2 linked regions of the Mytilus edulis genome follow. The protein of the gene in region 1 purifies or fractionates together with the protein of each later gene. This does not show direct contact. Links are inferred from orthologs where the notes say so. Each region holds a gene or a part of one and is shown on either strand. Other genes may lie near its edges.

The links.
Region 2: the proteins of 18S rRNA (guanine-N(7))-methyltransferase-like (region 1) and multifunctional methyltransferase subunit TRM112-like protein purify together in Homo sapiens (affinity purification with mass spectrometry; 5 studies listed by BioGRID and IntAct, counting the BioPlex papers as one, with this or other methods). This does not show direct contact. The link is inferred for Mytilus edulis from reciprocal best matches to the Homo sapiens genes BUD23 and TRMT112.

The regions. Positions count from the first base shown.
Region 1 is NC_092349.1:64,044,483-64,062,269, reverse strand, and holds the start of 18S rRNA (guanine-N(7))-methyltransferase-like, read right to left. Parts: upstream 6,955-17,787; 5' UTR 6,882-6,954; coding exon 6,837-6,881; intron 6,539-6,836; exon of another isoform or gene 5,460-6,538; intron 4,889-5,459; exon of another isoform or gene 3,976-4,888; intron 2,911-3,975; coding exon 2,873-2,910; intron 1,781-2,872; coding exon 1,685-1,780; intron 1,126-1,684; coding exon 1,043-1,125; intron 1-1,042. Other genes in the region: dnaJ homolog subfamily B member 9-like, read left to right, coding at 7,354-7,995.
Region 2 is NC_092345.1:1,178,782-1,195,855, reverse strand, and holds multifunctional methyltransferase subunit TRM112-like protein, read left to right. Parts: upstream 1-10,381; 5' UTR 10,382-10,438; coding exon 10,439-10,516; intron 10,517-11,553; coding exon 11,554-11,655; intron 11,656-12,314; coding exon 12,315-12,407; intron 12,408-12,945; coding exon 12,946-13,047; 3' UTR 13,048-13,300; downstream 13,301-17,074. UniProt on the Homo sapiens protein: Acts as an activator of both rRNA/tRNA and protein methyltransferases. Together with methyltransferase BUD23, methylates the N(7) position of a guanine in 18S rRNA.

The sequences.
Region 1 (17,787 bases):
GATTTCTATTTACTTAAACTAAAGTTATTGTGTGAAAACCAAGAATAATGCTTATTTGGGCCCTTTTTTGGCCCCTTATTCCTAAACTGTTGAAACCAAAACTCCCAAAATCAATCCCAACCGTTCTTTTGTGGTCATAAACCTTGTGTCAAAATTTCATAGATTTCTGTTAACTTAAACTAAAGTTATAGTGCAAAAACCAAGAAAATGCTTATTTGGGCCCTTTTTGGCCCCTAATTCCTAAAATGTTGGGACCAAAACTCCCAAAATAAATACCAACCTTCCTTTTGTGGTCATAAACCTTGTGTTAAAATTTCATAGATTTCCATTCACTTTTACTAAAGTTAGAGTGCGAAAACTAAAAGTATTCGGACGACGACGACGACGCCAACGTGATAGCAATATACGACGAAAATTTTTTCAAATTTTGCGGTCGTATAAAAACTACCTTGACCAAAAACCTTAACCTTAAGCGGAACAGATTGACGGACGAACTCACAGACCAGAAAACATGATGTCCCTCTACTATCGTATGTGGGGCATAAAAATGTCTTTTTAATTGCTGTCAGAATAAAGGCTGTTGCAAATGCAAATACTAACCAAAGTTTGACAAACAAGTTTGGTTATATATTTATTGACATACATAAGTTTAGCATTTAATTCTGAAAATGAATGAAATTATCTTTTTTTCTTTATTTTATCCAGTAAGTAAATAGTCATCGTGTTGGCAGTTGGACCTTACAGGTTTGTTGTTGTTGTGTGTTTACAAACTCATAATCTACCTGGTAGATCAGCAAAGGAGAGGTTGTGAGCATAAACACTGGTTTAACCAAAGCACATTATGTGCATGTACCATGTCAGGCTATCTTGACCATGTGTTTTTCTTAGTTGTTTGTCTATCAATTTGCTCTACATATTTAGAGTCAGTCTTTTGATAAGATATTATACTCTATTCAATGGATTTAGAGAAAATATAAGCAATTTGTACTGCATGTATCTGTATTTGTTTTATTTCAGTTTGACTATATAATCAATAAATTACCAAGCATGGAGGGACTAATATCCACACCTATCCAACAGTGTCCATTATCTGTCAAACATTCACCACTTAGTCCAGATCCACACCTATAAAACACAAACATTCATTGATTTAGTGAAATATCATATATCTAACATTATAAATTAACTTTTTTCTCTAAGACTTGTGTTCAGCACTTTGAAAAAATCTGCAGAGATTTCCACAATCGATAGAAGATGTGTACATTATCGATATTATTGACAGTGCTCATGTTTTCTTATATTAACTTTAAACAGTGACTTTAATTCTTTGTTTTTGATTTTCTGATATATATATTTCATGTACACCAAATCTCTATAATAGAGGAAATAAAGTTATATATATACAAATTATTATTGTAATTATACAACTTTGTTCTCATTTTTGCATAATACTAAATAACATATTGTCATTTCTACTATTTAATAACTCCAAGTTCCAGATTATCATTCTCCATGCATTAACAATTATACTATAATATAATAAAATATGAAAAATATATAGCTATAAATAATGGTAGTTATATCTTTAAAAAAGTATCAAAATATATACTTATCAAAAGAAACCATTTCAAATGAATTATTTGTCTGAAAGTGCAAGTTTTAAAGAAATAAATAAAACAATTACCCAACATCTAATATAAAACATGGCTGATCTTCAGGTAATCCCAGTAGTTCAATAGCTCTTTCTGACAACTGATTCTGTATTTCAATCATTCGAGTACTATCAAATATAAAATACATAATGATGTTACACTTAAAACTTTTTATTCTATCGACTGACCTTTTTCCACCAAGTCCACAAATAACAATGAATCAACAACATATTGTTTATATGCGTTTAAGCAGGTTTGACTGTTAAACATGTTAAATATTCAGAAGTGGTTTAATAAAAGTTTGACTATTACCATATTTTATTAAAAGATGAGGTTCAACTTTCTTTTTTTTTTTTTTTTAAAGATTTGAAAGTTACAGTATTCAGAAGTGGTTTAAGTAAGGTTTGACTAACGATTCGCCGAAAGCCCTGAATTATCGCCTATACAAGACATCACACAATTTCAAACACTACCTTAACGTACTTGATGATAAAGATGTAATAACAATGTCGCAGTTTAGGACAAGGAACCATAAACTGCCGATTGAAAATGGTAGTTGGCAAAACATTCCCCGAGAACAGAGAAAGTGTCCGTTGTGCAGAGTTGCTATAGGTGACGAATTCCACTATGTAATGGAATGCAGCAGTCTCTTGACAGATAGAACACTACTTATTGACAAGAAATACCTAACGAACTTTAATGTTTTAAAATTTAATGCTATTATGAACCAAAAACAGAAATCTAAACTTCGAAAATTGTGCCAATTTATTAGAATTATAAATTACAAACTGGATTCTCTCTGATGTTAACCTGTCGGCTATACTGATCATACCGTTGTAGAAAGCTCATATTTAATGCTTCCTCAACAAATGTATATATGCAATGTAATGTAAACTAATGTGTTTTTCTGTATACCTTTGTCCAACTTAGGTGATACCAGAATAAAATGATATATATACTAATACATTGTAACTCTTTCTCTATCGGAACAGAAATAGTTTGTGTAAGGTTTGACTGATATACATTGTAACTCTTTCTCTATCGGTACAGAAATAATTTGTGTAAGATTTGACTGATATCCATTTTGTACATCTTTACTCTATGTTTTTCGGGGCAAATTAGTACATGTACATGAGGTACAATGTTACCCTGTACTGAGAAATCTGATAAGAAAAAATAATTAAGTATGTTTTTATCTTAATTTGCACACTATATCTTACTTTGATGTGTATTTTCTGGCTTCATCTTCATTGTAAAACTGAAATACAACAAAAATGTAATAAAATATATGCAAAACTCATGAGATAACAAGAATGTGTCCCAAGTTCACGGATGCCGCATCAGCACTATCATTTTCTATGTTCAGTGGACCATGAAAATGGGATAAAATCTCTAATTTGGCATTAAAATTAGAAAAATTATATCATTGGGAACATGTTTATTTAGTTTCAATTTGATTGTACTTTAACTTCATCAAAAACTACCTCGACCAAAAACTTTAACCAAAACTTTAACCTGAAGCGGGACAGACGAATGGACGAACAAATCAACGGACGAACAAACCAGAAAACATAATGCCCATAATTTGGGCATAAAAAAAAGTCAACAAATTAATATAAGATATGTAGGGGCTATTTCAAATGTTAATTTGTCAACAACATTTAAGATGATGGCAATGTTTGGTTTTGCACATTATATAATTTTGAAACTCAATTCTTAATTCACATTATATTTGTGACATTTACTGATTTAAGTTTAAATATCAGAGTTTTAAATCAGAAATTGATCTGCACAGAAGATTTGATTTTGTTAAATTGTTATAATAATCAATGTAATCAATATGTAATCACTTGCATGAAATTTAACTTAATTAATTCAAATTATTGGGCATCATAATTCAGACAATAAAAGACTATGTATATGTATTTGTATTGTATTTGATGGTCCCTTGGATGTCAGTTTTAACAAAAAAAATTTGGTTAATAGATTTTTACCATTTCTTTTACAGATTTTCTAGCTGTAAACTTAGTCTAAATACTTTCTTTTAGATAAGTTAAAAATCTAAATGATCAAAGAAAAGATTTGGCAATGTATATTTGTGAAAACTGAGATGTTCGAGTAAACTGAATCCACATTATGTTTCTTTCTATATTAACAAAAATCATGTAAACATGGTCATGATGGTGTAACCGGAGGGGTTTTTACGTTGTGTATTTTCTGTGTCAACTTTAACATATTTTACCCCAGACCGTGTAAAGAGTAGGTATAGGAATCCTGAGTCTCTGATCCTTCATATTTGGCTTTGCAAAACTTAACGCTAGCAAGTTTTCATAGTTTATTAGCAAACTACATAATTCAACAAATATCAACAATTTGTAAAGATAAAAACATGAAACATGAATATAAAAAGCAAGTTAAAATTCACATAAAAGTGACATAGCTTAATCTGTCATTTTAACCTTTGTCTAGATGCATTATAATTCTAGACACAATAGCGACATTGTGTCTAGATGCTGTGAAATGCATTACACCTTTCGTGTAGACAACACCTTTCGTGTACACAGTGAGCAAGGTCTGTGCAAGACCAGTTAGTCAGCAAAGTCTGTGCTAGACCTTACGTGTAGACAGTGACTGAGGTCTGTGCAAGACCAGTTAGGCAGTGAGGTGTGCAACACCAGTAAGCTCTTACTAAAAAGCTAAAATAAGCGGTTGTTTTATCAACCAAATGGCTTATGAAAACAAGCCCAGTACAATTATTTAAATCATCAGTTATTTAACAAATACTATTCAAATATAAACACTCTATAACTAAATTATAAGTTGCAAATTCAACAAAATATGAGAATAAATTCAATGAATTATAGCACCATAATGTAACTAAATATATAAACATGTTAAACAACAATTTTTATCAATAATTCATATTAACAATAGTAATTAAATGTTAATTTTACAACAGTCCATTTTAAAGGGACATAATACTGTTCTAAAACATAGGGTCGCCGTTACATTCCTCCCTCCTTAAAAAAAACTGAAGCCATGAAGTTTAAAAACAAGGCTGGTATGAATTTCCATTATATACAAACAGTATATGCATCCATATATATATTGCACACGGAACACATTCCAATTCCTTTATCAATTGAACACTAGAAATGCTGGCCATATCATCTCCAATATCAGTTATAACACTCGTATATATTATCTCATATCATCACCATCACTGAAAACAAGTGCTGAAAAATTTAATAACAAAATTAAACAAATAGTTAAACTGAATCGTCACCCAGTAAACTGTTGTGTCAAATGCTATGGAAATAATGTAACTGTCTAAAATGTACTAGATATTCTGTATGTGTTTAAGAGATATTTACTATAGAATAAAACAATCATGCAACAACCAGCACTTTATTATAAAAGGCCAAAAGCGATTACGTGAATCAGAGGCTCACATTAGCGATTAAAACACGTCAATCGGGCAGAAACAATTATGTTGGCATCCAAGCTTATATCCACATAAACATGATAATTTTGAAGCAAGTTAGCATAAAATAAAATGATGTAGGCGACAGCCCTTTTCATGGGTCTAAAGGATACAACAATGAGGTACTTTACAATGCTGTTCCTGTCGATTCATACACATGCATCTTGAGCTATGTGTAATTACTGAATGTGTTAAGTAAGACAAATATGATCAAAATATACCATTCTATCTAAACAATCTAAGTTAAGCTTTCTTTAAACCATTTGAATTTTTTTCATCTATGCAATTAATTGCTTATACATTCTATAAATATCAATACATACTTTATCTCTGTGCCAATCTAAAATCAGTCTTTGTAAAGTTAAACTGAAATGATTACTCATCATTATTTCATACATATACATGGCAATATCTTTTAAAATCAAAATTAACATCAAGCAAGCATAATGACATTTATTTTACAATATTAAAATTTGACAATTTACATAACATATTTAACTGTATCAATAGCATAACCGCCTAATGAGAAGATCAGATGTTTCACCTCAGGATCCCACCGCTGCCACCAAAATGTAACCGGAGGGGTTTTTACGTTGTGTATTTTCTGTGTCAACTTTAACATATTTTACCCCAGACCGTGTAAAGAGTAGGTATAGGAATCCTGAGTCTCTGATCCTTCATATTTGGCTTTGCAAAACTTAACGCTAGCAAGTTTTCATAGTTTATTAGCAAACTACATAATTCAACAAATATCAACAATTTGTAAAGATAAAAACATGAAACATGAATATAAAAAGCAAGTTAAAATTCACATAAAAGTGACATAGCTTAATCTGTCATTTTAACCTTTGTCTAGATGCATTATAATTCTAGACACAATAGCGACATTGTGTCTAGATGCTGTGAAATGCATTACACCTTTCGTGTAGACAACACCTTTCGTGTACACAGTGAGCAAGGTCTGTGCAAGACCAGTTAGTCAGCAAAGTCTGTGCTAGACCTTACGTGTAGACAGTGACTGAGGTCTGTGCAAGACCAGTTAGGCAGTGAGGTGTGCAACACCAGTAAGCTCTTACTAAAAAGCTAAAATAAGCGGTTGTTTTATCAACCAAATGGCTTATGAAAACAAGCCCAGTACAATTATTTAAATCATCAGTTATTTAACAAATACTATTCAAATATAAACACTCTATAACTAAATTATAAGTTGCAAATTCAACAAAATATGAGAATAAATTCAATGAATTATAGCACCATAATGTAACTAAATATATAAACATGTTAAACAACAATTTTTATCAATAATTCATATTAACAATAGTAATTAAATGTTAATTTTACAACAGTCCATTTTAAAGGGACATAATACTGTTCTAAAACATAGGGTCGCCGTTACATTGGTAAGACAATCTCTCTCCCTAATCTTACATGTTGGACTTATAATTTGTCAATGAGATATATATTGTTCTCAAAACAGGGATATTTTTTTATTTATTTTTCATAAATGGGTACCAATTTTTGTGGTTTAAAGGTTGATATTTTTTTTTTATTTAAAGAGTCAAGAGATCTAAAACTGCAATGAGATGTCATTTCAAATATAAAATATTATTTGGATTTCTTATAATTGCTGACACAAGAATACAAGATCCATAAACACGATTTCACTGTTTTTGAAAAGCAACTTTTGAGATGTTACTGACTATTTCTGGAGGAGCTTGTCTTTCTGGTCTTCCACCATGTGCCATTGTTGCTGTTTGACACTTCAATTAAAACTCAGAGTCTAGGTACCGGCCTCAAAAATTTATTTCTTCAAATCCCATTAAAATGAAATATATTCTGCAATGAATAGAGTAGCATTAGAACAATTATTTAACTCTTGGATATTGAGAATGCTCTGGCAATTTCATTAATCAATTACAATACATTAGGTTTGAAATAGTTGAGATCAGACTTTTAGAGGAATTATTTTATATTAACCGAAGATAATATTTGATCTCTATCTTTTGAACTCTTGACGCGTACGGGATTACGCAACGGTGTTTGTTGACAGGTTGTACAGCACCAATTTTTGCAAAATATGCATTGAATATGAACTAGAAATACTTGAATACAATTCTATATATGAAACAATTACCAGATAAACCTCCATTTATTGATGGATTGAGTTAAATGGGACAAATTGAATGAAATTAAAACCAAAACTTAGCTCTGAAGGTCATGAATGCTAAATATTCTGTAGGCAGGGGAATTTCCTCAGGTTTGCAAGGGACTAGCATTTTATACAGTCCTTTCTGTATTGGCCAGACACGATGGTCATCAAATCATAGAAAACAAAAATCACCTTCATATTATTATGATATCCTTGGAATAACCCCAAAAGCTAACCAGCAGCAAATTAAGCAAGCTTACTATACCATGTCGAAGAAATATCATCCAGATGTCAGCCCATCTCCCGAGGCCCACCTCAAGTTTCAAGAAATTTCTCAGGCATATGAGGTATTAGGAAATTCGTCAACTAGAAGAATGTATGATCGAGGTGTCAATAGACCCGAATATGCTAGAAGAAAAGAAGAACACCACTCTGACCACAAAGGCGGTCAATTTTATCAACAACAAGGCTTTGCTAAAAGGGGACAAAGGCCAATGACTGGGAGAACATCGATTTATGACTTTGATGAATATTATAGAATGCATTATTCTGATAACTTTAAAAGGAAGCAACGAGACATTGAATTTGAAAATCTTAAGCAAAAAATTCATGAAGAAAACGAGAAGATGCACAATGATTTTAAACCTATATTTTCTTTCTCTGTGGTTTTATGTATATTTTGCTCAATAATTTATTCCTTAAATACATAAAATATTAGGTAATAAGATGAATTCAATAACTTTATTATGTTTATATACAGTTGTAGTACATTGTATGTGTAAACATTGATGTGTACATGAACATGTATAATTAAGTAAATAAGATAAACATTGAAAATGGTCAAGTTTCCCCTAGTTTTATTGTCCACGCCTGCAACTTTTAAAATTATTTATATGATCAGGATTTATACAAAAATTGAATTTTCATGATATTATATTTATACAAGAAATATATATGCAGAAAAAGTCTTCATCTTAATAAAAACTCAAAATAATATACATTGTTTAAATTTGAAACTTATCAACTTGAGGGAGAAAAAATCTAATTCTGTCAGAATGTCAGCGCTGAGATGTTATTAGCCTGATTTTTCTTTAACTCATAGAATGTTTCATACATTTGTTGTCTCCCTTTAATTTTAAAACAAAAATATGTCTATTAGTGTTCAGCTGAAACATTTGACCTGAATCAAATGTAGCATTTATTGACTTCTTTAAGTCTACATGTACAATGTATATATGTTATTGATATAAACTGATAAACTAATTTTAAAAGGGTGCAGGCATACCTTTACACAACTATCATGACTATGTTTATACATGTACTGTTACAATCTATCAGACATATATCAGATTTACTTTTATGATATGAATTCTGGCAAAAATATCTAAAAAAAAAGCTATGAAGAGTTATAACTGTCAGATATACAATGGTAAATATTCATTCATTTAAAAAAGATGTGGTATGATTGCCAATGAGACAACAGTCACAACACTGACAAAATGATTTCACTGAGTGAAAGTTTTCGAATTATAATGTAGGAGTTACAGGAACAACCTTAGCTTGTGTGAAATGTTTTTTTTAAACATGATAATTGTATATTGTTATACAAGTAGAATTGGTAATTTATTTGGTTGTAAAATGTATTTTTTAATAAATTTTCTTATAATAATGTATTTCATGCTCCTAAACAGGCTAAAAAAAATCAGAAAATGTAATAAATATTTGTAGGTTCGATTTTTTATATATCTGCAGACAATAGCTATATTTGTTCTCTCCAGAATGAAAATTTAAGTGAATTATCAAAATGTTTATGATATTAAGGTATAGTTTAAGTACATGTATGAACCATTTTGTATAGGTATATATAATGGCCAAGTTTCTTTTCAACAAAACAAGAATTTGTATCACTATACAAATCATTGAACAAAATAATCAACTACATGTGTATGTAAAAAACATTCTTTTTAGTTCCTGTTTCTTAATTATCTTTAATTGAATATTTTTGAAATTTGATTTAATATTTTTACATTTTTGAAAAAAAAACAAAAACCCTTTTATAGAATTTAAGGGTTTCAGATTTGAGCGTATATGGTTACCACTTTTTGGAGCATGATGTTGGTTTTATTAAGTTCTATTTTATACATATTGTACAGGTACATGTATAACATTGGTACCTTTAGTGAAAAAATGAAATGGTACACTGTATAACTATTTTTATTTGTTTATTTTATTATAATATGTAAAACAATTTTATGTCAGTAACGTTTTGCTTGCTGAAAATTGTGGTGTCAGATCAGGAAATGTTTGTTAATTGTTATATTGTACAGATCATACTATTTATAAAAGTAAATCGGCATTGATTGTTATACAAAAAAGAATGATATTCAATTAAAAAACAATGAATTCAGACTTATTAATTTAAGTTAATTTTTAGCTCACCTGGCCCAAAGGGCCAAGTGAGCTTTTCTCATCACTTGGCGTCCGTCGTCGTCGTCGTCCGTCGTTAGCTTTTACAAAAATCTTCTCCTCTGAAACTACTGGGCCAAATTTAACCAAACTTGGCCACAATCATCATTGGGGTATCTAGTTTAAAAAATGTGTCCGGTGACCCAGTCAACCAACCAAGATGGCCACCAGGGCTAAAAATAGAACATAGGGGTAAAATGTGGTTTTTGGCTTTTAACTCAAAAACCAAAGCATTTACAGCAAATCTGACATTGGGTTAAATCCTACATCAGGTCAAGATCTATCTGCCCTGAAATTTTCAGATGAATCGGACAACCCGTTGTTGGGTTGCTGCCCCTGAATTGGTAATTTTATGGAAATTTTACTGTTTTTCCCATCACTTTGCGTCCGTCGTCCGTCGTTGTCCGTCGTCGTTAACTTCTACAAAAATCTTCTCCTCTGAAACTACTGGGCCAAATTAAACCAAACTTGGCCACAATCATCATTGGGGTATCTAGTTTAAAAAATGTGTCCGGTGACCCGGCCAACCAACCAAGATGGCCGCCATGGCTAAAAATAGAACATAGGGGTAAAATGCAGTTTTTGGCTTATAACTCCAAAACCAAAGCATTTAGAGCAAATCTGACATGGGGTAAAATTGTTAATCAGGTAAAGATCTATCTGCCCTGAAATTTTCAGATGAATCGGACAACCCGTTGTTGGGTTGCTGCCCCTAAATTGGTAATTTTAAGGAAATTTTACTGTTTTTATACGACCGCAAAAATTAAAATTTTTTGGTCGTATATTGCTATCACGTTGGCGTCGTCGTCCTGCGTCGTCGTCGTCGTCGTCCGAATACTTTTAGTTTTCGCACTCTAACTTTAGTAAAAGTGAATAGAAATCAATGAAATTTTAACACAAGGTTTATGACCACAAAAGGAAGGTTGGGATTGATTTTGGGAGTTTTGGTCCCAACATTTTAGGAATTAGGGGCCAAAAAGGGCCCAAATAAGCATTTTCTTGGTTTTTGCACTATAACTTTAGTTTAAGTGAATAGAAATCTATGAAATTTTGACACAAGGTTTATGACCACAAAAGGAAGGTTGGGATTGATTTTGGGTGTTTTGGTTCCAACAGTTTAGGAATTAAGGGCCAAAAAAAGGGCCCAAATAAGCATTATTCTTGGTTTTCGCACAATAACTTTAGTATAAGTAAATAGAAATCAATGAAATCTTAACACAAGGTTTATGACCACAAAAGGAAGGTTGGGATTGATTTTTGGAGTTGAGGTCACAACAGTTTATGAATTAGGGGCCAAAAAGGGGCCCAAATAAGCATTATTTTTGGTTTTTGCACCATAACTTTAGTATAAGTAAATAGAAATCTATGAAATTTAAACACAAGGTTTATGACCATAAAAGGAAGGTTGGGTTTGATTTTGGGAGTTTTGGTCCTAACAGTTTAGGAATAAGGGGTCCAAAGGGTCCAAAATTGAACTTTGTGTGATTTCATCAAAAATTGAATAATTGGGGTTCTTTGATATGCCGAATCTAACTATGTATGTAGATTTTTAATTTTTGGTCCCGTTTTCAAATTGGTCTACATTAAGGTCCAAAGGGTCCAAAATTAAACTTAGTTTGATTTTAACAAAAATTGAATCCTTGGGGTTCTTTGATATGCTGAATTTAAAAATGTACTTAGATTTTTAATTATTGGCCTAGTTTTCAAGTTGGTCCAAATGGGGGTCCAAAATTAAACTTTGTTTGATTTCATCAAAAATTGAATAAATGGGTTCTTTGATATGCCAAATCTAACTGTGTATGTAGATTCTTAATTTTTGGTCCAGTTTTCAAATTGGTCTACATTAAGGTCCAAAGGGTTCAAAATTAAACTAAGTTTGATTTTAACAAAAATTAAATTCTTGGGCTTATTTGATATGCTTTATCTAAATATGTACTTTGATTTTTGTCGAGCCTTCGACTTTAGTCGAAAAAGCGAGACTAAGCGATCCTACATTCCGTCGGCGTCGGCGTCGGCGGCGGCGGCGGCGGCGGCGTCCACAAATATTCACTCTGTGGTTAAAGTTTTTGAAATTTTAATAACTTTCTTAAACTATACTGAATTTCTACCAAACTTGGACAGAAGCTTGTTTATGATCATAAGAAAGTATCTAGAAGTAAATTTTGTAAAAATAAAATTCCATTTTTTCCGTATTTTACTTATAAATGGACTTTGTTTTTCTGCGAGGAAACATTACATTCACTCTGTGGTTAAAGTTTTAAAAATTTTAATAACTTTCATAAACTATCCTTGATTTGTACCAAACTTGGACAGAAGCTTGTTTATGATCATAAGATAGTATCAAGAAAAAATATTTCGTAAAAATAAATTTCCACTTTTCCGTATTTTACTTATAAATGGACTTAGTTTTTTTTGCCAGAAACAAAACATTCACTCTGTGGTTTAAGTTTTTAAAATTTTTATAATGTTCTTAAACTATCCTGGATTTCTACCAAACTTAGACAGAAGCTTGTTTCTGATCATAAGATATTATTCAGAAGTAAATTTTGTAAAAAAATAATTCACTTTTTCCGTATTTTACTTATCAATGGACTTAGTTTTTCTTCCAGTTAACATTACATACAGTCTGCAGTTAAAGTTTATACAACATTTATTAGATTCATAAACTATCCTGGATTTTTTACCAAACTTAGAAGCTTCTTTCAATCAAAAGACAGTATCGAGAGGGAAATTTTTATTGATGTTTTTCCTCATTTTGTTGAGTCTGCAATTAACAGCAAAAGTAGGCGAGACACTGGGTTCCGCGGAACCCTTACGAATTTTTAATTATAGGCCCAGTTTTCAAGTTGGTCCAAATCAGGATTCCATATCAAGTATTGTGCAATAGCAAGAAATTTTCAATTGCACAGTATTGCACAATAGCAAGAAATATCTAATTGCACAATATTGTGCAATAGCAATTAATTTTCAATTGGAGTTATCTTTCTTTGTATAGAATAGTAGTTGATAATATATGTTGGAAATTTGCCAGAGATGACTATGATGTCATTTTCTATTTTTATTTGCCAATAACTTTATGTAAATAACTTCATTGGAAATTTGCCAATATAAAATGTTGGTGATGAAGTTTTTTTTATTGTTTTATACAATAAACAATGTATATTCACTTTTACTACCAACCAATCTTTACCATTCAGTGATAACAAGCACTTTATTTTACATTTTAATATTTTATGGTGTATTTAAAAGAGTAGTTATTGTTGCAAACTCCATTAGAAATTTGAATTGATATCAGTTTTGGAAAAAGGGAATCGGGGATGTGAAAAAAAAGGGGGGGGGGGGTTTAAATTTTTCTCATTTCAGATTTCATAAATAAAAAGAAAATTTCTTCAAATATTTTTTTGAGAGGATTAATATTCAACAGCATAGTGAATTGCTCAAAGGCAAAAAAAAACTTTTAAGTTCATTAGACCACATTCATTCTGTGTCAGAAACCTATGCTGTGTCAACTATTTAATTTTAGATTTAAAAAGTTTGAAGAAGAAATCTTTAATTGATTTGTAAAATCTTGACATTTGTTTTGTGTAAAAAAAACCCATGTAATGTCAAAAATTTGATCACAATCCAAATTCAGAGCTGTATCACGCTTGAATGTTTTGTCCATACTTGCCCCAACTGTTCAGGGTTCGACCTCTGCAGTCGTATAAAGCTGCGCCCTGCGGAGCACCTGGTTGGTTATTATCTTGAATATTATTATAGATAGGGATAAACTGTAAACAGCAATAATGTTCAGCAAAGTAAGATTTACAAATAAGTCAACATGACCGAAATGGTCAGTTGACCCCGTTAGGAGTTATTGCCCTTTATAGTAAATTTTTAACCATTTTTCGTAAATCTTAGTAATCTTTTACAAAAATCTTCTCTGAAACTACAGGGCCAAATTAATCCAAACTTAGCCACAATCATCATTGGGGTATCTAGTTTAAAAAATGTGTGGCTTGACCCTGCCAACCAACCAAGATGGCCGCCATGGCTAAAAATAGAACAGAGGGGGTAAAATGTAGATTTGGCTTATAACTCTAAAACCAAAGCATTTAGAGCAAATCTGACAAAGGGTTAAATAATCTATTAGGTCAAGACTATCTGCTCTGAAATTTTCATACAAATCGGACAGCCTGTTGTTGGGTTGCTGCCCCTGAATTAGTAATTTTAAGGAAATTTTGCAGTTTTTGCTTATTATCTTGAATATTATTATAGATACAGATAAACTGTAAACAGTGATAATGTTCAGCAAAGTAAGATTTACAAATAAGTCAAACATGACCAAAATGGTCAGTTGACCCCTTAAGGAGTTATTGCCCTTTATAGTCAATTTACAAAATATTTTCCTCTGTTACTAATGGGCCAAGTACATTGTAGATAGAGATAATTGTAAGTAGCAAGAACGTTCAGTTAAGTAAGAACTTCAAACACATCACCATCTGACACCAAAACACAATTTTGTCATGAATCCATCTGTGTCCTTTGTTTAATATGGACAGACACCAAAGTGAGCGACACAGGCTCTTTAGAGCCTCTAGTTTTGTTTGGCCATTTTTGGGTACCCATTTTGTATTGGCACATCCTCTTAGATTGTTTTGCCTTTTTCTTCACCATATAACGCTATTGTGCACTTCCTATGTTTTTTTTTATCCATACTATTTTTAGCTCACCTGGCCAAAAAGGCCAAGTGAGCTTTTCTCATCACTTGGCGTCCAGCGTCTGTCATCGTTAACTTTTGGGCCACTACTGGGCCAAATTTAACCAAACTTGGCCACAATCATCATTGGGGTATCTAGTTTAAAAAATGTGTCCGGTCAATTTTTAACCATTTTTCGTAAATCTTAGTAATCCTTTACAAAAATCTTCTCCTCTGAAACTACTGGGCCAAATTAATCCAAACTTGGCCACAATCATCTTTGGGGTATCTTGTTTAAAAAACAAGTGTCCAGTGACCCGGCAATCCAACCAAGATGGCCGCCACGGCTAAAAATAGAACATAGGGGTAAAATGCAGTTTTTGGCTTATAACTCAAAAAACAAAGCATTAAGAGCAAATCTCACATGTAGTAAAATTGTTTATCAGGTCAAGATCTATCTGCCCTGAAATTTTCAGATGAATCAGACAACCCGTTGTTGGGTTGCTGCACCTGAATTGGTAATTTTAAGGAAATTTTACTGTTTTTGGTTATTATCTTGAATATTATTATAGATAGGGATAAACTGTAAACAGCAATAATGTTCAGCAAAGTAAGATTTACAAATAAGTCAACATGACCGAAATGGTCAGTTGACCCCGTTAGGAGTTATTGCCCTTTATAGTAAATTTTTAACCATTTTTCGTAAATCTTAGTAATCTTTTACAAAAATCTTCTCCTCTGAAACTACAGGGCCAAATTAATCCAAACTTAGCCACAATCATCATTGGGGTATCTAGTTTAAAAAATGTGTGGCTTGACCCTGCCAACCAACCAAGATGGCCGCCATGGCTAAAAATAGAACAGAGGGGGTAAAATGTAGATTTGGCTTATAACTCTAAAACCAAAGCATTTAGAGCAAATCTGACAAAGGGTTAAATAATCTATTAGGTCAAGACTATCTGCTCTGAAATTTTCATACAAATCGGACAGCCTGTTGTTGGGTTGCTGCCCCTGAATTAGTAATTTTAAGGAAATTTTGCAGTTTTTGCTTATTATCTTGAATATTATTATAGATACAGATAAACTGTAAACAGTGATAATGTTCAGCAAAGTAAGATTTACAAATAAGTCAAACATGACCAAAATGGTCAGTTGACCCCTTAAGGAGTTATTGCCCTTTATAGTCAATTTACAAAATATTTTCCTCTGTTACTAATGGGCCAAGTACATTGTAGATAGAGATAATTGTAAGTAGCAAGAACGTTCAGTTAAGTAAGAACTTCAAACACATCACCATCTGACACCAAAACACAATTTTGTCATGAATCCATCTGTGTCCTTTGTTTAATATGGACAGACACCAAAGTGAGCGACACAGGCTCTTTAGAGCCTCTAGTTTTGTTTGGCCATTTTTGGGTACCCATTTTGTATTGGCACATCCTCTTAGATTGTTTTGCCTTTTTCTTCACCATATAACGCTATTGTGCACTTCCTATGTTTTTTTTTATCCATACTATTTTTAGCTCACCTGGCCAAAAAGGCCAAGTGAGCTTTTCTCATCACTTGGCGTCCAGCGTCTGTCATCGTTAACTTTTGGGCCACTACTGGGCCAAATTTAACCAAACTTGGCCACAATCATCATTGGGGTATCTAGTTTAAAAAATGTGTCCGGTCAATTTTTAACCATTTTTCGTAAATCTTAGTAATCCTTTACAAAAATCTTCTCCTCTGAAACTACTGGGCCAAATTAATCCAAACTTGGCCACAATCATCTTTGGGGTATCTTGTTTAAAAAACAAGTGTCCAGTGACCCGGCAATCCAACCAAGATGGCCGCCACGGCTAAAAATAGAACATAGGGGTAAAATGCAGTTTTTGGCTTATAACTCAAAAAACAAAGCATTAAGAGCAAATCTCACATGTAGTAAAATTGTTTATCAGGTCAAGATCTATCTGCCCTGAAATTTTCAGATGAATCAGACAACCCGTTGTTGGGTTGCTGCACCTGAATTGGTAATTTTAAGGAAATTTTACTGTTTTTGGTTATTATCTTGAATATTATTATAGATAGAGATAAACTGTAAACAGCAATAATGTTCAGCAAAGTAAGATTTACAAATAAGTCAACATGACCGAATTGGTCAATTGACCCCCTAAGGAGTTATTGTCCTTTATAGTCAATTTTTAACAATTTTCATGAAATTTGTAAATGTTTACTAACATTTTCCACTGAAACTACTGGGCCAAGTTCATTATAGATAGAGATAATTGTAAGCAGCAAGAATGTTCAGTACAAACACCATTTTGTCATGAATCCATCTTCGTCCTTTGTTTAATATTCACATAGACCAAGGTGAGCGACACAGGCTCTTTAGAGCCTCTAGTTGGTTATTATCTTGAATATTATTATAGATAGAGATAAACTGTAAACAGCAAAAATGTTCAGCAAAGTAAGATTTACAAATAAGTCTCATGACCGAAATGGTCAGTTGACCCTTTTAGGAGTTATTGCCCTTTATAGTCAATTTTGAACCATTTTTCGTAAATCTTAGTAATCTTTTACAAAAATCTTCTCCCCTGAAACTACTGGGCCAAATTAATCCAAACTTGTCCACAATCATCATTGGGATATCTAGTTTAAAAAATGTGTCCGATGACCTGGCCAACCAACCAAGATGGCCGCCATGGCTAAAAATAGAACATAGGAGTAAAATGCAGTTTTTGGCTTATAACTCAAAAACCAAAGCATTTAGAGCAAATCTAACGGAGGTTAAATCGTATATCAGGTCAAAATCTATCTGCCCTGAAATTTTCAGATGAATCGGACAACCCGTTGTTGGGTTGCTGCCCCTGAATTGGTAATTTTATGGAAATTTTACTGTTTTTGGTTATTATCTTGAATATTATTATAGATAGAGATAAACTGTAAACAGCAAAAATGTTCAGCAAAGTAAGATTTACAAATAAGTCTCATGACCGAAATGGTCAGTTGACCCCTTTAGGAGTTATTGCTTTTTATAGTCAATTTTAACCATTTTCCTTAAATCTTAGTAATCTTTTACAAAAATCTTCTCTGAAACTACTGGGCCAAATTAATCCAGACTTGTCCACAATCATCATTGGGGTATTTTGTTTGAAAAATGCGTCGATGACCCGGCCATTTAACCAAGATGGCCGCCACAGCTAAAAATAGAACGTAGGGGTAAAATGCAGTTTTTGGCTTATAACTCCAAAACCAAAGCATTTAGAACAAATCTGAAGAAGGGTAAAATTGTTTATTAGGTCAAGATCTATCTGGCCGTAAATTTTCAGATGAATCGGAAAACCCGTTGTTGGGTTGCTGCCCCTATATTGGTAAT
Region 2 (17,074 bases), on another chromosome or scaffold:
TAATCCGCACACAAAACCTTACTGGAATGCCGACGTGAAGCAAGCACACACGAAAGAACGAAATATGCGAAGAGTCTGGATGCAAGATGGAAGACCCAGAGGTATGCAACACGAGTCGTATTTTAATTACAAACGAGCCAAACGTGATTTTAGAAACATTCAGCAACTTGCTAATGAACAATATATCGAAGAAACGTATGATGACATTAACAACGCTGCCGAATGTGATATACGACTATTCTGGAAACTTATTAAGCGCCAAAAACCAAAACATTCAAAAGTTTGTCAGCAAATTATACATAATAACATTGTTCATACATCACCTGAGTCGATTTGTAACGCATTTGCGAATTATTTCGAAGATCTGTACACACCAGCTGATACGTCAACGTTCGATGATCCGACCCTTAAGGAAATGAATAAAGCTTACCGCGAAATTCAACGTGTATGCAAAGCTGATGAAGACCTATACTTACCTGGTGGAATTATTACTTGTGATGATGTAAGCTCTATTATTAAGCAACTAAAACGTAGAAAAGCGTGTGGCAATGACATGATCCAAAATGAACACTTGATATATGGTGGACCAAAAGTTTCGGAATGTCTTTCCATTTTCCTTAATATTGTTGTAGAGAAACAGCAAGTTCCTAGTGACTGGCAGAAAGGACTGGTTGTTCCCTTGTTTAAAGGAGGCGATAAATCTAAATTGAGCCCGGACAGCTATCGACCCGTGTGTTTACTATCTAGTGTATTGAAGCTTTTTGAAAAGATAGTACTTATCCGTCTACAAACATTTGTCGTATTACCAGAGACGTTTCCTAATCCTCTCCAACATGGATTTCAAAAAGGTCTTGGTTGTCTGACTGCGTCCTTTTGTCTCCTTGAAACAATTTACCATAACATAGAACAAAATAGCAAAGTTTTTGTAGCGTTTTTAGACAGTAGAAAGGCCTTTGATACAGTATGGCGCAAAGCACTTATGTTTAAATTATTTAATTTGGGTGTCAAAGGGAAAGCATGGTCCCTGATTAATGATATGTATAGTAAAACACAAGATTCAGTTGTTGTAAATAAATGTAAATCAAATGACTTTGTAGTCAAAGAAGGTGTTAGACAAGGAGGGGTATTGTCTGGTTTTTTATACTTAGTGTTTATTAATGAACTAATTAATGAATTGGAAAGATGTAATAGAGTCACTGGTGTTAATAGTATAAAATGCTGCGCTCCATCACTTGCTGACGATATTACATGTATTGCTACAACACCACAGCGTTTACAACACATGCTGGATATATGTACAATCTATTCAAATAAATGGAGGTTTCAGTTCAACGGAAAGAAATCATGTGTTATTCAATTTTCAAAATCCTCAATAAAAACAGACTATAACTGGAAAATTAACCAAGAATCTGTACCGGTTGAAGACAGTCATATTCATCTAGGCATTGAACTTAACGGAAAATTAAACGCACTTACACGAACGACAAAAGCTTGTAGGAAGGGTAGAAACACTTATTTTGCAATTGCCAACTTAAGAGGCGAAAATACGAATCCTTTGGTTCTCGTCAAACTGTACAAGTCAGTAGTAATTCCAACTTTTTTATATGGCTGTGAAGTTTGGTGTGACCTGAAGAATCAAGATATCACATTACTGAATAGACTTCAGCATTTTGTTGTAAAACACGTACAAAAGTTTAAGACGTCAACAAGATCAGATATGTGTGAAAGCATGGTTGGACTACGTAATATAACCTGTGACATTGAAAAACGTAAATTATATTTCTTTGGAAAACTTTGTAAAACGAAAAACTCTTATCTTGCAAAACAAATCTTTCTACAAAGACTTTTTTCGTGCCTGTTAGATGGACGAAACCATATTGGATTTATTCCGGACATATTAAACATTCTATGTAAATACAATCTGTATGAATTTCTTATAACCTATATTAGTGATGGCAACTTTCCTGATAAGCTGCAATGGAAACGTTTAGTTGTAAATGCAGTTGAATCAAAACATGATAATGACTGGCTGATTCGCATTAATTCAGACAATGACTTTAGGAGGTTTAAATATATTCATAAATCCGTATCTGCAGCTCATGTGTGGAAATTCCCCTCGAACAGCTCTGAAATTCGCACTGCATTGTTTATTGGAAAACTTATATCTACCGCTCCAACCCATGTTTTCAAATTTTGTGAAATTTGTGACCGTCCGTTCACTGACGTTTTCGTACATGCATGCTTTGGCTGTACGTGTACATCAAATATGCACAGCACTTGGATGGACTTAATAATAGAAAACTTTTGTCTCGACCTCTATGTTGAACTAAGTGAATGTGATGATGATTCCTTATATACAATCTGTCTAGGAAAAAACCCTTCAACCATGCTTAGTGATCCCGACTTAGAGTCATTCAAGCGACTTTGCTACATCCATGTAACAAAATCTGCATCCGAATACAATCGTCAATTGAACAATATAGTATAATGCTAACACATGTAATATCGACAGCACGCGATATAAACTCTTTTGCTTTTGAACTGATCACTTTCATTTATATGTAAATATTGCGTATTTCTCACAACTTTATCATTTATATGTTCTGTTATTAATGTTTTAATGTATTGTTCATGATTATATAATTCATGTAATCTCTGTAAAGAGGAAATAAAGATATGAATGAATGAATGAATAGTATTATAGATATATATGCCATGCATATGAAATATGAAATGACAGAAACATATAATGCATATATTATATGTCTCTAGAATAGACAATATGTAAGATGTAAACATTTATAAATTAGGTATTAATCTGAGTTTGAATTATAAGTAATAAACAAGGTTAAGATTGTAAGTTATACCCAGAGTTTAAATAATATGTAATAAACAGAGTTTGGACTGTAAGTTATAAACAGAGTTTAAATTATAAGTAATAAACAAATTAATATAATGTTACATTGGGGAAGATGTTTATTAATTCATTAATTTTAAGGCAAGTTTAAAAATTGAATAGCATTATATAAAAAAGTTAGACTATCACTAAAATAATGAGTAGAAGATGTTGTTTCAGGTTTTTTTACTGTTCAAGATTAACAACCAGCATATTGTTAATTTTTTTTGGATGATCATTGTCAACACAGAAAAAACACCATCATAATCAATTAACATTTATGAATTCAGATAAAACACTGAATTATTCAAAAGAATGTTCCCAGGCTAAATGTGATTCCGTAATTGGTCTTGACATGAACATTAACAAAGTCCTTCTACTAAGGGAGTTTAACAACTTGACTAAGTTGGTCCTGAGACTACTGTGTTATACTTAGTCTCTGAGGTCTGTCGCAGAATTTTTTTTTATTTTTCTCACAGAAGACACCAAGTCAGTTCAGATTGTACGTGCATAAGACATTTTCAAACAGATTTATCATAAAGTATAAAGTATGTCGGGACAATAACAGACTTTTAAGTTATGACCTTGAAAAGCACATTTAGAGTATGATGCATGTAACCATTGTAACCTGACTTTCCCATGCATGTAACCATTGTAACCCGACTTTCCCATGTATGTAACCATTGTAACCTGATTCTCCATGCATGTAACCATTGTAACCTGATTTTTTCATGTATGTAACCATTGTAATCTGACTTTCCCATGTATGTAACCATTGTAACCTGATTCTCCATGTATGTAACCATTGTAACCCGACTTTCCCATGTATGTAACCATTGTAACCTGATTCTCCATGCATGTAACCATTGTAACCTGATCTTTTTATGTATGTAACCATTGTAACCTGACTTCCCCATGTATGTAACCATTGTAACCTGATTCTCCATGCATGTAACCATTGTAACCTGATTCTCCATGCATGTAACCATTGTAACCCGACTTTCCCATGTATGTAACCATTGTAACCTGATTCTCCATGCATGTAACCATTGTAACCTGATTCTGCATGCATGTAACCATTGTAACCCAACTTTCCCATGTATGTAACCATTGTAACCTGATTCTCCATGCATGTAACCATTGTAACCCGACTTTCCCATGTATGTAACCATTGTAACCTGATTCTCCATGCATGTAACCATTGTAACCCGACTTTCCCATGTATGTAACCATTTTAACCTGATTCTCCATGCATGTAACCATTGTAACCTGATTTTTTTATGTATGTAACCATTGTAACCTGACTTTCCCATGAATGTAACCATTGTAACCTGATTCTCCATGTATGTAACCATTGTAACCTGATTCTCCATGTATGTAACCATTGTAACCTGATTCTCCATGCATGTCACCATTGTAACCTGATTTCCCATGCATGTAACCATTGTAACCTGATTCCCCATGCGTGTAACCATTGTAACCTGATTTCCCATGTATGTAACCATTGTAACCTGATTCTCCATGTATGTAACCATTGTAACCTGATTCCCCCATGCATGTAACCATTGTAACCTGATTCCCCATGTATGTAACCATTGTAACCTGATTCCCCATGTATGTAACCATTGTAACCTAATTCTCCATGCATGTAACCATTGTAACCTGATTTTCCCATGTATGTAACCATTGTAACCTGATTCCCCCATGTATGTAACCATTGTAACCTAATTCTCCATGCGTGTAACCATTGTAACCTGATTCTCCATGCATGTAACCATTGTAACCAGATTCCCCATGTATGTAACCATTGTAACCCAATTCTCCATGCGTGTAACCATTGTAACCTGATTCTCCATGCATGTAACCATTGTAACCTGATTTTCCCATGTATGTAACCATTGTAACCTGATTCCCCCATGTATGTAACCATTGTAACCTAATTCTCCATGCGTGTAACCATTGTAACCTGATTCTCCATGCATGTAACCATTGTAACCAGATTCCCCATGTATGTAACCATTGTAACCAGATTCCCCATGTATGTAACCATTGTAACCTAATTCTCCATGCGTGTAACCATTGTAACCTAATTCTCCATGCGTGTAACCATTGTAACCTAATTCTCCATGCGTGTAACCATTGTAACCAGATTCCCCATGCTTGTAACCATTGTAACCTGATTCCCCATGTATGTAACCATTGTAACCTGATTCCCCCATGCATGTAACCATTGTAACCTAATTCTCCATGCGTGTAACCATTGTAACCTAATTCTCCATGCGTGTAACCATTGTAACCAGATTCCCCATGCATGTAACCATTGTAACCTGATTCCCCATGTATGTAACCATTGTAACCTGATTTTCCCATGCATGTAACCATTGTAACCTGATTCCCCATGTATGTAACCATTGTAACCTGATTCCCCATGTATGTAACCATTGTAACCTGATTCTCCATGTATGTAACCATTGTAACCTGATTCTCCATGCGTGTAACCATTGTAACCAGATTCCCCATGCATGTAACCATTGTAACCTGATTCCCCATGTATGTAACCATTGTAACCTGATTCCCCATGTATGTAACCATTGTAACCCAATTCTCCATGCGTGTAACCAGTGTAACCTGATTCCCCCATGTATGTAACCATTGTAACCTGAATCCCCATGTATGTAACCATTGTAACCAGATTCCCCATGCATGTAACCATTGTAACCTGATTCCCCATGTATGTAACCATTGTAACCTGATTCCCCATGTATGTAACCATTATAACCCAATTCTCCATGCGTGTAACCAGTGTAACCTGATTCCCCCATGCATGTAACCATTGTAACCTAATTCTCCATGCGTGTAACCATTGTAACCTAATTCTCCATGCGTGTAACCATTGTAACCAGATTCCCCATGCGTGTAACCATTGTAACCTGATTCCCCATGCATGTAACCATTGTAACCAGATTCCCCATGTATGTAACCATTGTAACCTAATTCTCCATGCGTGTAACCATTGTAACCTAATTCTCCATGCGTGTAACCATTGTAACCTAATTCTCCATGCGTGTAACCATTGTAACCCGACTTTCCCATGTATGTAACCATTGTAACCTGATTCCCCATGTATGTAACCATTGTAACCTGATTCTGCATGCATGTAACCATTGTAACTCAACTTTCCCATGTATGTAACCATTGTAACCTGATTCTTCATGCATGTAACCATTGTAACCCGACTTTCCCATGTATGTAACCATTGTAACCTGATTCTCCATGCATGTAACCATTGTAACCCGACTTTCCCATGTATGTAACCATTTTAACCTGATTCTCCATGCATGTAACCATTGTAACCTGATTTTTTTATGTATGTAACCATTGTAACCTGACTTTCCCATGTATGTAACCATTGTAACCTGATTCTCCATGTATGTAACCATTGTAACCTGATTCTCCATGTATGTAACCATTGTAACCTAATTCTCCATGCGTGTAACCATTGTAACCTGATTCTCCATGCATGTAACCATTGTAACCAGATTCCCCATGTATGTAACCATTGTAACCAGATTCCCCATGTATGTAACCATTGTAACCTAATTCTCCATGCGTGTAACCATTGTAACCTAATTCTCCATGCGTGTAACCATTGTAACCAGATTCCCCATGCTTGTAACCATTGTAACCTGATTCCCCATGTATGTAACCATTGTAACCTGATTCCCCCATGCATGTAACCATTGTAACCTAATTCTCCATGCGTGTAACCATTGTAACCTAATTCTCCATGCGTGTAACCATTGTAACCAGATTCCCCATGTATGTAACCATTGTAACCTAATTCTCCATGCGAGTAACCATTGTAACCTAATTCTCCATGCGTGTAACCATTGTAACCTAATTCTCCATGCGTGTAACCATTGTAACCAGATTCCCCATGCGTGTAACCATTGTAACCTGATTCCCCATGCATGTAACCATTGTAACCAGATTCCCCATGTATGTAACCATTGTAACCCAATTCTCCATGCGTGTAACCATTGTAACCTGATTCTCCATGCATGTAACCATTGTAACCTGATTTTCCCATGTATGTAACCATTGTAACCTGATTCCCCCATGTATGTAACCATTGTAACCTAATTCTCCATGCGTGTAACCATTGTAACCTGATTTTCCATGCATGTAACCATTGTAACCAGATTCCCCATGTATGTAACCATTGTAACCAGATTCCCCATGCGTGTAACCATTGTAACCTAATTCTCCATGCGTGTAACCATTGTAACCTAATTCTCCATGCGTGTAACCATTGTAACCAGATTCCCCATGCTTGTAACCATTGTAACCTGATTCCCCATGTATGTAACCATTGTAACCTGATTCCCCCATGCATGTAACCATTGTAACCTAATTCTCCATGCGTGTAACCATTGTAACCTAATTCTCCATGCGTGTAACCATTGTAACCAGATTCCCCATGCATGTAACCATTGTAACCTGATTCCCCATGTATGTAATCATTGAAACCTGATTTTCCCATGCATGTAACCATTGTAACCTGATTCCCCATGTATGTAACCATTGTAACCTGATTCCCCATGTATGTAACCATTGTAACCTGATTCTCCATGTATGTAACCATTGTAACCTGATTCTCCATGCGTGTAACCATTGTAACCAGATTCCCCATGCATGTAACCATTGTAACCTGATTCCCCATGTATGTAACCATTGTAACCTGATTCCCCATGTATGTAACCATTGTAACCCAATTCTCCATGCGTGTAACCATTGTAACCAGATTCCCCATGCGTGTAACCATTGTAACCTGATTCCCCATGCATGTAACCATTGTAACCAGATTCCCCATGTGTGTAACCATTGTAACCTAATTCTCCATGCGTGTAACCATTGTAACCTAATTCTCCATGCGTGTAACCATTGTAACCTAATTCTCCATGCGTGTAACCATTGTAACCAGATTCCCCATGCGTGTAACCATTGTAACCTGATTCCCCATGTATGTAACCATTGTAACCTGATTCTCCATGTATGTAACCATTGTAACCTGATTCTCCATGCGTGTAACCATTGTAACCAGATTCCCCATGCATGTAACCATTGTAACCTGATTCCCCATGTATGTAACCATTGTAACCTGATTCCCCATGTATGTAACCATTGTAACCTGATTCTCCATGTATGTAACCATTGTAACCTGATTCTCCATGCGTGTAACCATTGTAACCAGATTCCCCATGCATGTAACCATTGTAACCAGATTCCCCATGTATGTAACCATTGTAACCTGATTCCCCATGTATGTAACCATTGTAACCCAATTCTCCATGCGTGTAACCAGTGTAACCTGATTCCCCCATGTATGTAACCATTGTAACCTGAATCCCCATGTATGTAACCATTGTAACCAGATTCCCCATGCATGTAACCATTGTAACCTGATTCCCCATGTATGTAACCATTGTAACCTGATTCCCCATGTATGTAACCATTGTAACCCAATTCTCCATGCGTGTAACCAGTGTAACCTGATTCCCCCATGCATGTAACCATTGTAACCTATTTCTCCATGCGTGTAACCATTGTAACCTAATTCTCCATGCGTGTAACCATTGTAACCAGATTCCCCATGCGTGTAACCATTGTAACCTGATTCCCCATGCATGTAACCATTGTAACCAGATTCCCCATGTATGTAACCATTGTAACCTAATTCTCCATGCGTGTAACCATTGTAACCTAATTCTCCATGCGTGTAACCATTGTAACCTAATTCTCCATGCGTGTAACCATTGTAACCAGATTCCCCATGCGTGTAACCATTGTAACCTGATTCCCCATGCATGTAACCATTGTAAACAGATTCCCCATGTGTGTAACCATTGTAACCTAATTCTCCATGCGTGTAACCATTGTAACCTAATTCTCCATGCATGTAACCATTGTAACCTAATTCTCCATGCGTGTAACCATTGTAACCAGATTCCCCATGCGTGTAACCATTGTAACCTGATTCCTCATGCATGTAACCATTGTAACCAGATTCCGCATGTATGTAACCATTGTAACCTAATTCTCCATGCATGTAACCATTGTAACCTGATTTTCCCATGTATGTAACTATTGTAACCTGATTCCCCATGCATGTAACCATTGTAACCTGATTCCCCCATGTATGTAACCATTGTAACCTGATTTTCCCATGTATGTAACCATTGTAACCCTACTTTCCCATGTGTGTAACCATTGTAACCAGATTCTCCATGCATGTAACCATTGTAACCCGACTTTCCCATGTATGTTACCATTGTAACCCGTCTTTCCCATGCATGTAACCATTGTAACCTGATTCTCCATGCATGTAACCATTGTAACCTGATTCTCCATGCATGTAACCATTGTAACCCAACTTTCCCATGTGTGTAACCATTGTAACTGATTTCTCTATGCATGTTTCACTGTAACCAAATTCTGCATGTATGTAACCAGTGTAACCTGATTTCCCATGCATGTAACCATTGTAACCAGACTTTCACAGGCTGGTTACAAATTTTTACTGGATTCCCCAGGGACAGCCATTAATGTACAGTTTGCAACAGATTAAGCCACCATTGCATATCATTTACTAAAGGTCCATGTGTGTAACCAATGTAACCAATGTAACCATTGCTTCAATGGGGGTAACAAAACAAGATACCTATATTCAGGTGCACATTTTGTGCCATATCTATGGTACCCAGACCGAAGTTTAAACTAGAATGAGTACTTTGGGGGCCTCCGTTTGTCAAAGTTGCCCCTACTTTGACCTGGAGATCAATCTTCTGATACTTCGAGTTCTCGGCTTCCTCAACCATAATAACAGAATTCCCGATGTCCTAGCACTCCCTTTGTGTTGGGTGGGGATTAATTGTCCTTGTAAAAATAATTGTCGTATAAACATACGTTAGTGACACATCTCCATTCGAGTAGGGAGTGTACATGGATGCCACTGTACGCTCGCAGCTTTCGAGGGGTTCTTCGGATATCGGAGGCATTTACCAGTACATACATACATACATACATGTATATACAGTATTCAAAAAATAAAGTTCATGCATATTTTGTACGCTAATGCCAATAATGTGCATGTATCAATTGAGCAACAATATGAAAATTCTAACATAAATTGAACACTTCTACCTACAATTTCAAATGTGTTTAATGTCGTGCAGTTTAATTTAGATTTGAAAATTTAGAAAAATAAACTCACATGTTTCATGGGCGCAGACATCTTGGTTAATAAAAAAAAAGATTATTTAATTATCTACTAGATAAAACGAAGTGAAAAAAGAAACAAAATTGATGTGAATAAAAATAATTTTGGATCTGAAAAATAGAAATATAATTTCAATGCATTGTAATTAGCACTGAAAAAAATAAATGAAATTAAAAACAGATTTAATGAAACAAATTTTATTTTCGTTTTGTACGAAATTTTGCATTGTTTAGTAATCGACGTAAATAAAGCGAAAGAGAAAGATGAAGCTCCTTACTCACAACATGCTTACTTCTAGTATAATAAAAGGTGTAAAGAAGGGATACCCACTAACAATTCAGGTGAAACTTAATGTTGTTGCATAGCTGTATTTTACAATGTAGAAATTGACAAACGAGCCTTCTAAACCTCCCCGTTTATAACTTGCTAACCCCTTTTATCCTGTTGTCCTAAATTGTATAATGACTATAATTAGGCAGCTATACAGGGGGTACTTTCATCATGAATAAAAATAAAATTATTACCAAACGATGTAAAGGAGGGTTGTATTAAATGGGGGTACCTTTATGATGAATAACAGTAAAAATCGTTGCCTAATGATGTTAACGGTAATTTTTGTTGTATGACGATAAAATGTACTCTGACAATAAAACATCAACTGATTTTGACGAATCACGTTAATTTTTTTCTAAAAATGACGGTAATGATAATTTTTTGAGACCTCTGACATGTCTGACAAATCTCGGCAAGGATATTTTGAGGAATCACGGTAAAATTTTAACCAATTTGACGTTAATGGTAGCCAAAAACGGCTCTTAAAGGCCATAGTAATTTTTGGTGCATGACAATAAAATGTGTATTTTCTTTATGATGATATAATAATCGACCGATTTTGACGAATCCTGATTTTTTTTCTCTCCAAAAAGTAAAGGTTATGGATAATTATTTGAAACCTCTGAAAAATAGGACATATACATGTAACTATACTATATACAAAATGTATATGTCCTTGATCTCATTAACATTTTAACCAATTTGATTCTTATGAAAGCCATAAATTTGACTCCGATGGTAAAGAGTACCGGTATTCCTCCTCTCATACATAGTGTGTAAATGTGTGAAACCTTTTTTTATTACTTACCAGATTGGCAAGCAGCTCTTCATTTCAACTTTGTTTCATTTTGAGAGTCATCCTCCTGCCAAGGCAAAAGAAAAGTAAAGCATATATTTTTCTATTCACACAGTGTTTTATTTACCATTGATTTACTCAGCACACACCACAGCTATATATAAGTTTAGACACCTTGAATATACTTGTACAAATACAACTTAATTGAAATAAGGGTAACACATATTTTTGTTGATTATTTTTTTATAGGCAACTAAAGTGGAGGTGAAAGAGGTTGACTTTAATCCAGAGTTCACAGCCAGAATGATCCCTAAAGTGGATTGGCCAGCTTTGTGTCAGGCAGCTCAGTCAGTAAGGATATACGCAATATAGTTAGAAAATACAAAGGGACACAACTCATAATTCTAAGAATATCTGAAAGAAATCTTTTTTAATTTTAAGATTTTTTACTCTCTGAATAATCAATTAATAACTTGTTCATGCATAGTTTAACTAGATAATTAAACTCCAGCATTTTAATTTTGAGAATAAATGCTAAAAATAAATATACATTGTACAATAGGTAGTTTATAAAAAAGAAGATGTGGTATGATTGCCAACGAGACAACTATCCACAAAGACCAAAATGACACAGACATTAACAACTATACTAGGTCACCGTACGGCCTTCACCAATGAGCAAAGCCCATACCACATAGTCAGCTATAAAAGGCCCCGATAAGACAATGTAAAACAATTCAAACGAGAAAACTAACGGCCTTATTTATGTAAAAAAATGAGGTTCTTTATCATGTTTATAAATAAAAATTGAAAGAAAATCAACCCCTCAGTGCTTAGATTTCCTGTATTGAGTTTTTAAATAGGCTTCTTGCAATAAAGTTGATCAATGTCTGCAGGGATTTTATCCACAATAATCAAAATATAATACAAGGATAAGCTAGCATTAGCTAGGTACACTAAGGTTGGCTAGGTACATTAAGGTTTATGTTTTGTTTATTTTTACATTTAAGGTTGGTCATAATGAAGGTTTACCAACAGAAGTTGCTGAAAGTTATGAATCTGATGAAGATTTTTTAAAAAAGGCACACAGAATTCTTATGGAGGTATATATGATAACAAGAAGATAAATTTACAAACTAGTTAAGATGTATAATCATAGTTAGCAACCATTTAAAAGTAAAGCCAATTTCTGGAATAATGAATTTTACTCCAGAATTATAATTTTAAGTTGTTATCTCCCTTTTCGGAAAGTAGAACTGATAATCTGTTTATACTCCTTGTTGATTTAAGATAATATTTTGTTTATATTGATATTACAACTTTTATCCTATTGTGGCTTCCAACATTCTCATTATCAAGCTGGCAATGTCTGTAATCTAAAGGAGCACGGGACATCACCATGACAATATACTTAAAAAAGACTTGATGAAGCAGGTAATATGATGGCATAATTAGTTATGGTTCTACTGAAAATTTCCCAAATGTACAAGAATAAGAAAATTTAAAGATTTTTTAGAGGACATTAAGATCAAGTGAACAAAACCATTAGGAATACAGTTTCAGCCATGAACACATATAGTTTTATGGAGATAATACCAAATCTTATATTTTAAATAATTACATCCACATTTTTGTTGGCAGGTAGAAATTGTAGAAGGTGATCTGATTTGTCCTGAGACAGGAAGGAAATTCCCTGTTAATAGAGGAATACCCAACATGTTGCTGAATGAAGACGAGGTGTGACAGAAGCCATTTTGAACAATCTTGTGATAATAACTTTGTGTCATACATTTTCTATGACTTGATAATTGAATATAAAGCAACAAAATTATTTTGACAATTCATCATGTGAAATGTAAAGTTTCATCAGAAATAATTGGGAAAATTATGAACACAATCTTCATATGTACTTTGTTACAGAATTTGGTAAAGAACATTTCCTTTGTTGTAGAATGCTTGTTTTAAGCATGTGACTGTTAATAAAGGTATAAGCCAAGTATGTATTTAATTTTGTACCTCTTAAAACAAAGTTACTGTGGATAAATTTGTACTCACGAAATCCATGGCAATTGGTTTTCAATGAAGAAAAATGAATCGGTTTGAACCCACCCCCACTGAAAAATTGTCATTTCCCGTCTATTTTCCGATTTTAAAACGACCTTGAGAGGTGAACATTGACCAGACTGTGTTTCTTTGTCATTCAAATCTTACCCCATAGATACAGAAGTCAAATCATGCTAACTGGGAGTTTATGGGACTTAAGTGTCTTGCTGGCGAATTATTATTCTTAAGTCAGGTCTGCCTAAATGTCTGTTTTTACGGATTTTTGACAAAACGGTGACCTAGATTTTACAGACTAGTTTCCTATTGGCCATATGATACCTCTTTGTGTTCCTATACCACCTATGCATGAATTTACGATAATAGTTTATACCTACAATGACTACCAGTTACGTAGTGGCCATCAAAAGATGCCCACCCCCACCTGATTTTGGCTACTTTTCACGTTTTTCCGATTTTGAACTCTTAAAGGGCTTTCAAAGTGCCATATTTTCACAATCAGACGTCCGAGAAGAGTTTATGGACCATGAACTGCTTGGTTGAAGTCCCTGCTCTAATGACAGTTCAGGTTGGGCAGTTTAAAAAAGGTATGGAGGGTCATACGGGCCATCAAAGAATGGTTGTCGCCATCACGCCTACAGGCGGGATTGGGGGTTAAAGAGTTAAATCTTATTCTAAATATTGAGGGGAGATAATCAAACCAACTTACTGTAATATTGCAAAATATGGCAATGTTCTCTCGTCAACACAATTCCTCTTAAACCGCAGAATAGATTTTGATAAAATATTGCATTGATGTAGAATGCCACCTGAAAACTTGTAGGAAGGAATATCATCCTTGTCATATGGCATGTACATTTTAAAGGGGAGATAATTCAAGATTTTTAAATATATAGTAATCTTCAGTTGTAAGTACAACTCTTGCTCAAAAACTATTCTGATATTAATGAAACTTTACACAGAAGTAGAGCACTTCCTAATATAAAAAAGAAGATGTGGTATGATTACCAATGAGACAACTCTCCACAAGATACCAAAATTTTGTTAAGGTATACAAATCTGGATGGACATGTGAATGGGGAGATAATTCAACAAATATACTATATATTTCAATATACTGGCATGTGCCGATGTGGTCTATTTTTGCAATGTTTACATTCATAATGTAGAACCTGTTTTTGAGGGCTTCTTTTTATTGCTTTTCCTGTTATTGTCCATAAGCATCAAATTTACACAAAGGGAATCTTTTAATGATTTTGCCTTGATAGCAAAAATTTAGAGAAAATTTTCCACTAATGAGAATTTCATGCTTTTACATAACTGTAAAATACATTCAACCTAAATATTATTCCTATAAATAGTACCTCCTAAACTACCCTATAGATTTTGATGAATCTTTACATAGTTGTAGAATGCTGCCTGCCCATAAAAGAATACATGTTTAAGGGGAGATTATTCAAAGTACTTTTTATTTCAATATATGGTGATTCTGTGGTAAGCACAATTTATTGCTTGACTTAGTTATATTCAAGAAACTTGACTCAGTGATAGAACACAAAGGGGCTAATTCAGAAATTCCATTTTTGACTTCAATTTGACCAAATTGCTCCCAACTTTTAGTGTAATGTAATTTTCTACTATTTCATTAAACATGAAGAAATAAAGTGGGAATATGAATGAATCAAAGAGCTGATAGCTCTGAAGTGGAAGAAGGTGAATAAAAGGTAACTTGAATTACCATAAAAGCAGCCCCACTTACCCAGGCTGCTTTGTTCCATTATTGTTAAAATGGTTTTTTTTTCTTCGAACAAGAAAAGGTCATAAGTACATGGATTTCCCATCCGTACAATCATTTTCTATGTTCAGTTGACTATGAAAATTAGGTAAAATCTTTAATTTGGCAGTAAAATTAAGAAGATCATATCAAGAGGAACACATGTGTACTAAGTTTCAAGTTGATTGGATTTCAACTTCATCAAAAACTACCTCGACCATAAACTTTATAACCAGAAGCAGGACGGACGGACAGACTAGAAAACATATTGCCCATAAATGGAGCATAAAAATAGTAAGACTTGTTACATACCCGCCAACTTTTGAAAGTTCCCATATGGGTTTTTAATGCACAACAACAATTTTAAAGGTTACAATTTTTAGCGACGTATTTTGCAAGATCTGGATTGTCTAGAAAAAGTGTCATATTTGTATGATGAACTTACATGCCTTTTCCTTAAGTCTGTTTGCATGATTCTAGTTATATATTAAATCGGTAGAAAAAATATACATAAAGCTAGCAGACCAGGGTTATTTTCCAGATCAAGAATATTAGATGCTTGTTGAAATCTCCAATTTTGAATTATGCACAAAGATGGACCTTTAACAGGTTGGGAACAACACTCCAAATGAGGGTAACCTAACTGGAAGATCATCACAACCCACTGTAAAAAATGAGCACAAAAAAAGTCATTTATATTCATATTATTTGATGAAACTTCTCCCAAAGAACTATGCATCTATTAAGTACTGAATGGTCAAAACATGTTTTTTTATCGACATAAATTTTGTCGTAAATGTAACCAAATGATGTAGAAATTGTGTTTTTTCTTCAAATTTCCATCAAATTGTAATGTTTATAGTTCCCTTATTGCCTCTCTATTTGAATAAATAAAATAATAAGAAGAATCTGTTTCTTGTTTTGTTTTGTTTTGTTTTTGAGTGTGGAACGATTTAATAAGAAAATTGCCAGAAGGCAACGAAAGAGTCATTGCTATCTCTGTTCAAACCAAGGATCGACAAGTTTGTATTATCAACTCATACCTACCAACTTTAAATACTAACTCAGTAATAAAATATAGGGAACATTTAGATATTATCAAATTTCTTATACAAAAGTATTGCTATATGGATTTCATAATCTGTGGGGACCTAAACGGAACCTTACTCAATTCAAGGCATAATCAACATGATAGAATATTAAAAGAGTTTGTCAAAGACTATAATCTACATCAACTAGATGATGATGATCACCTTCACTCTTTCTTTCATCATAATGGAAAATCTACATCTAAAATAGACTACATCCTGTCATCAAATAGCAACCTTATCCACTCTATTCAAACTTTCTCGCAAGATGCAATAAATTTATCAGCCCATGTACCAGTCAAGGCTCTTTTAACACTTCAAGCCGACAAACAAAAACAAAAAAAAATCATCAAATTTCAGCAACGAAGTACTGCATAAAACAGAATGGGAAAAGTGTGTACCATCTATTTACAGTGAAGCAGTAAAAAAATCGTTAGATCAAAATAAAAATCGAAAAGTAACAACAGAAGACCAAACAAATAATCTAATAGATGCAATTAAACAAGCTGCAAGGAAAACAATTCCGACAAAAACTTTGAAAATCCGCGGCCCAAGACTAAAAGTTTCACAACATGCAAAAAAGTTGCTTACGATTAGCAAACAGAAACACAGGATATGGGACCTTCATGGGAGAAAGAGAGGTGAGGACACTTGTTTTTTGGAACTGAAGGAAGCAAAAAGAAACGTAAGAAAAAGACTACGGCAAGAAAGAGCAACTGAATGTAAAGAATTTTATAAAAAACTGGAAAGTGAACCCAACTCTAAAAATTTCTTCAGATTAATACGCAGAAATACAAACAGCACTAAAGAACTTGCTACAACCATACTATATGATGATCATGAACTC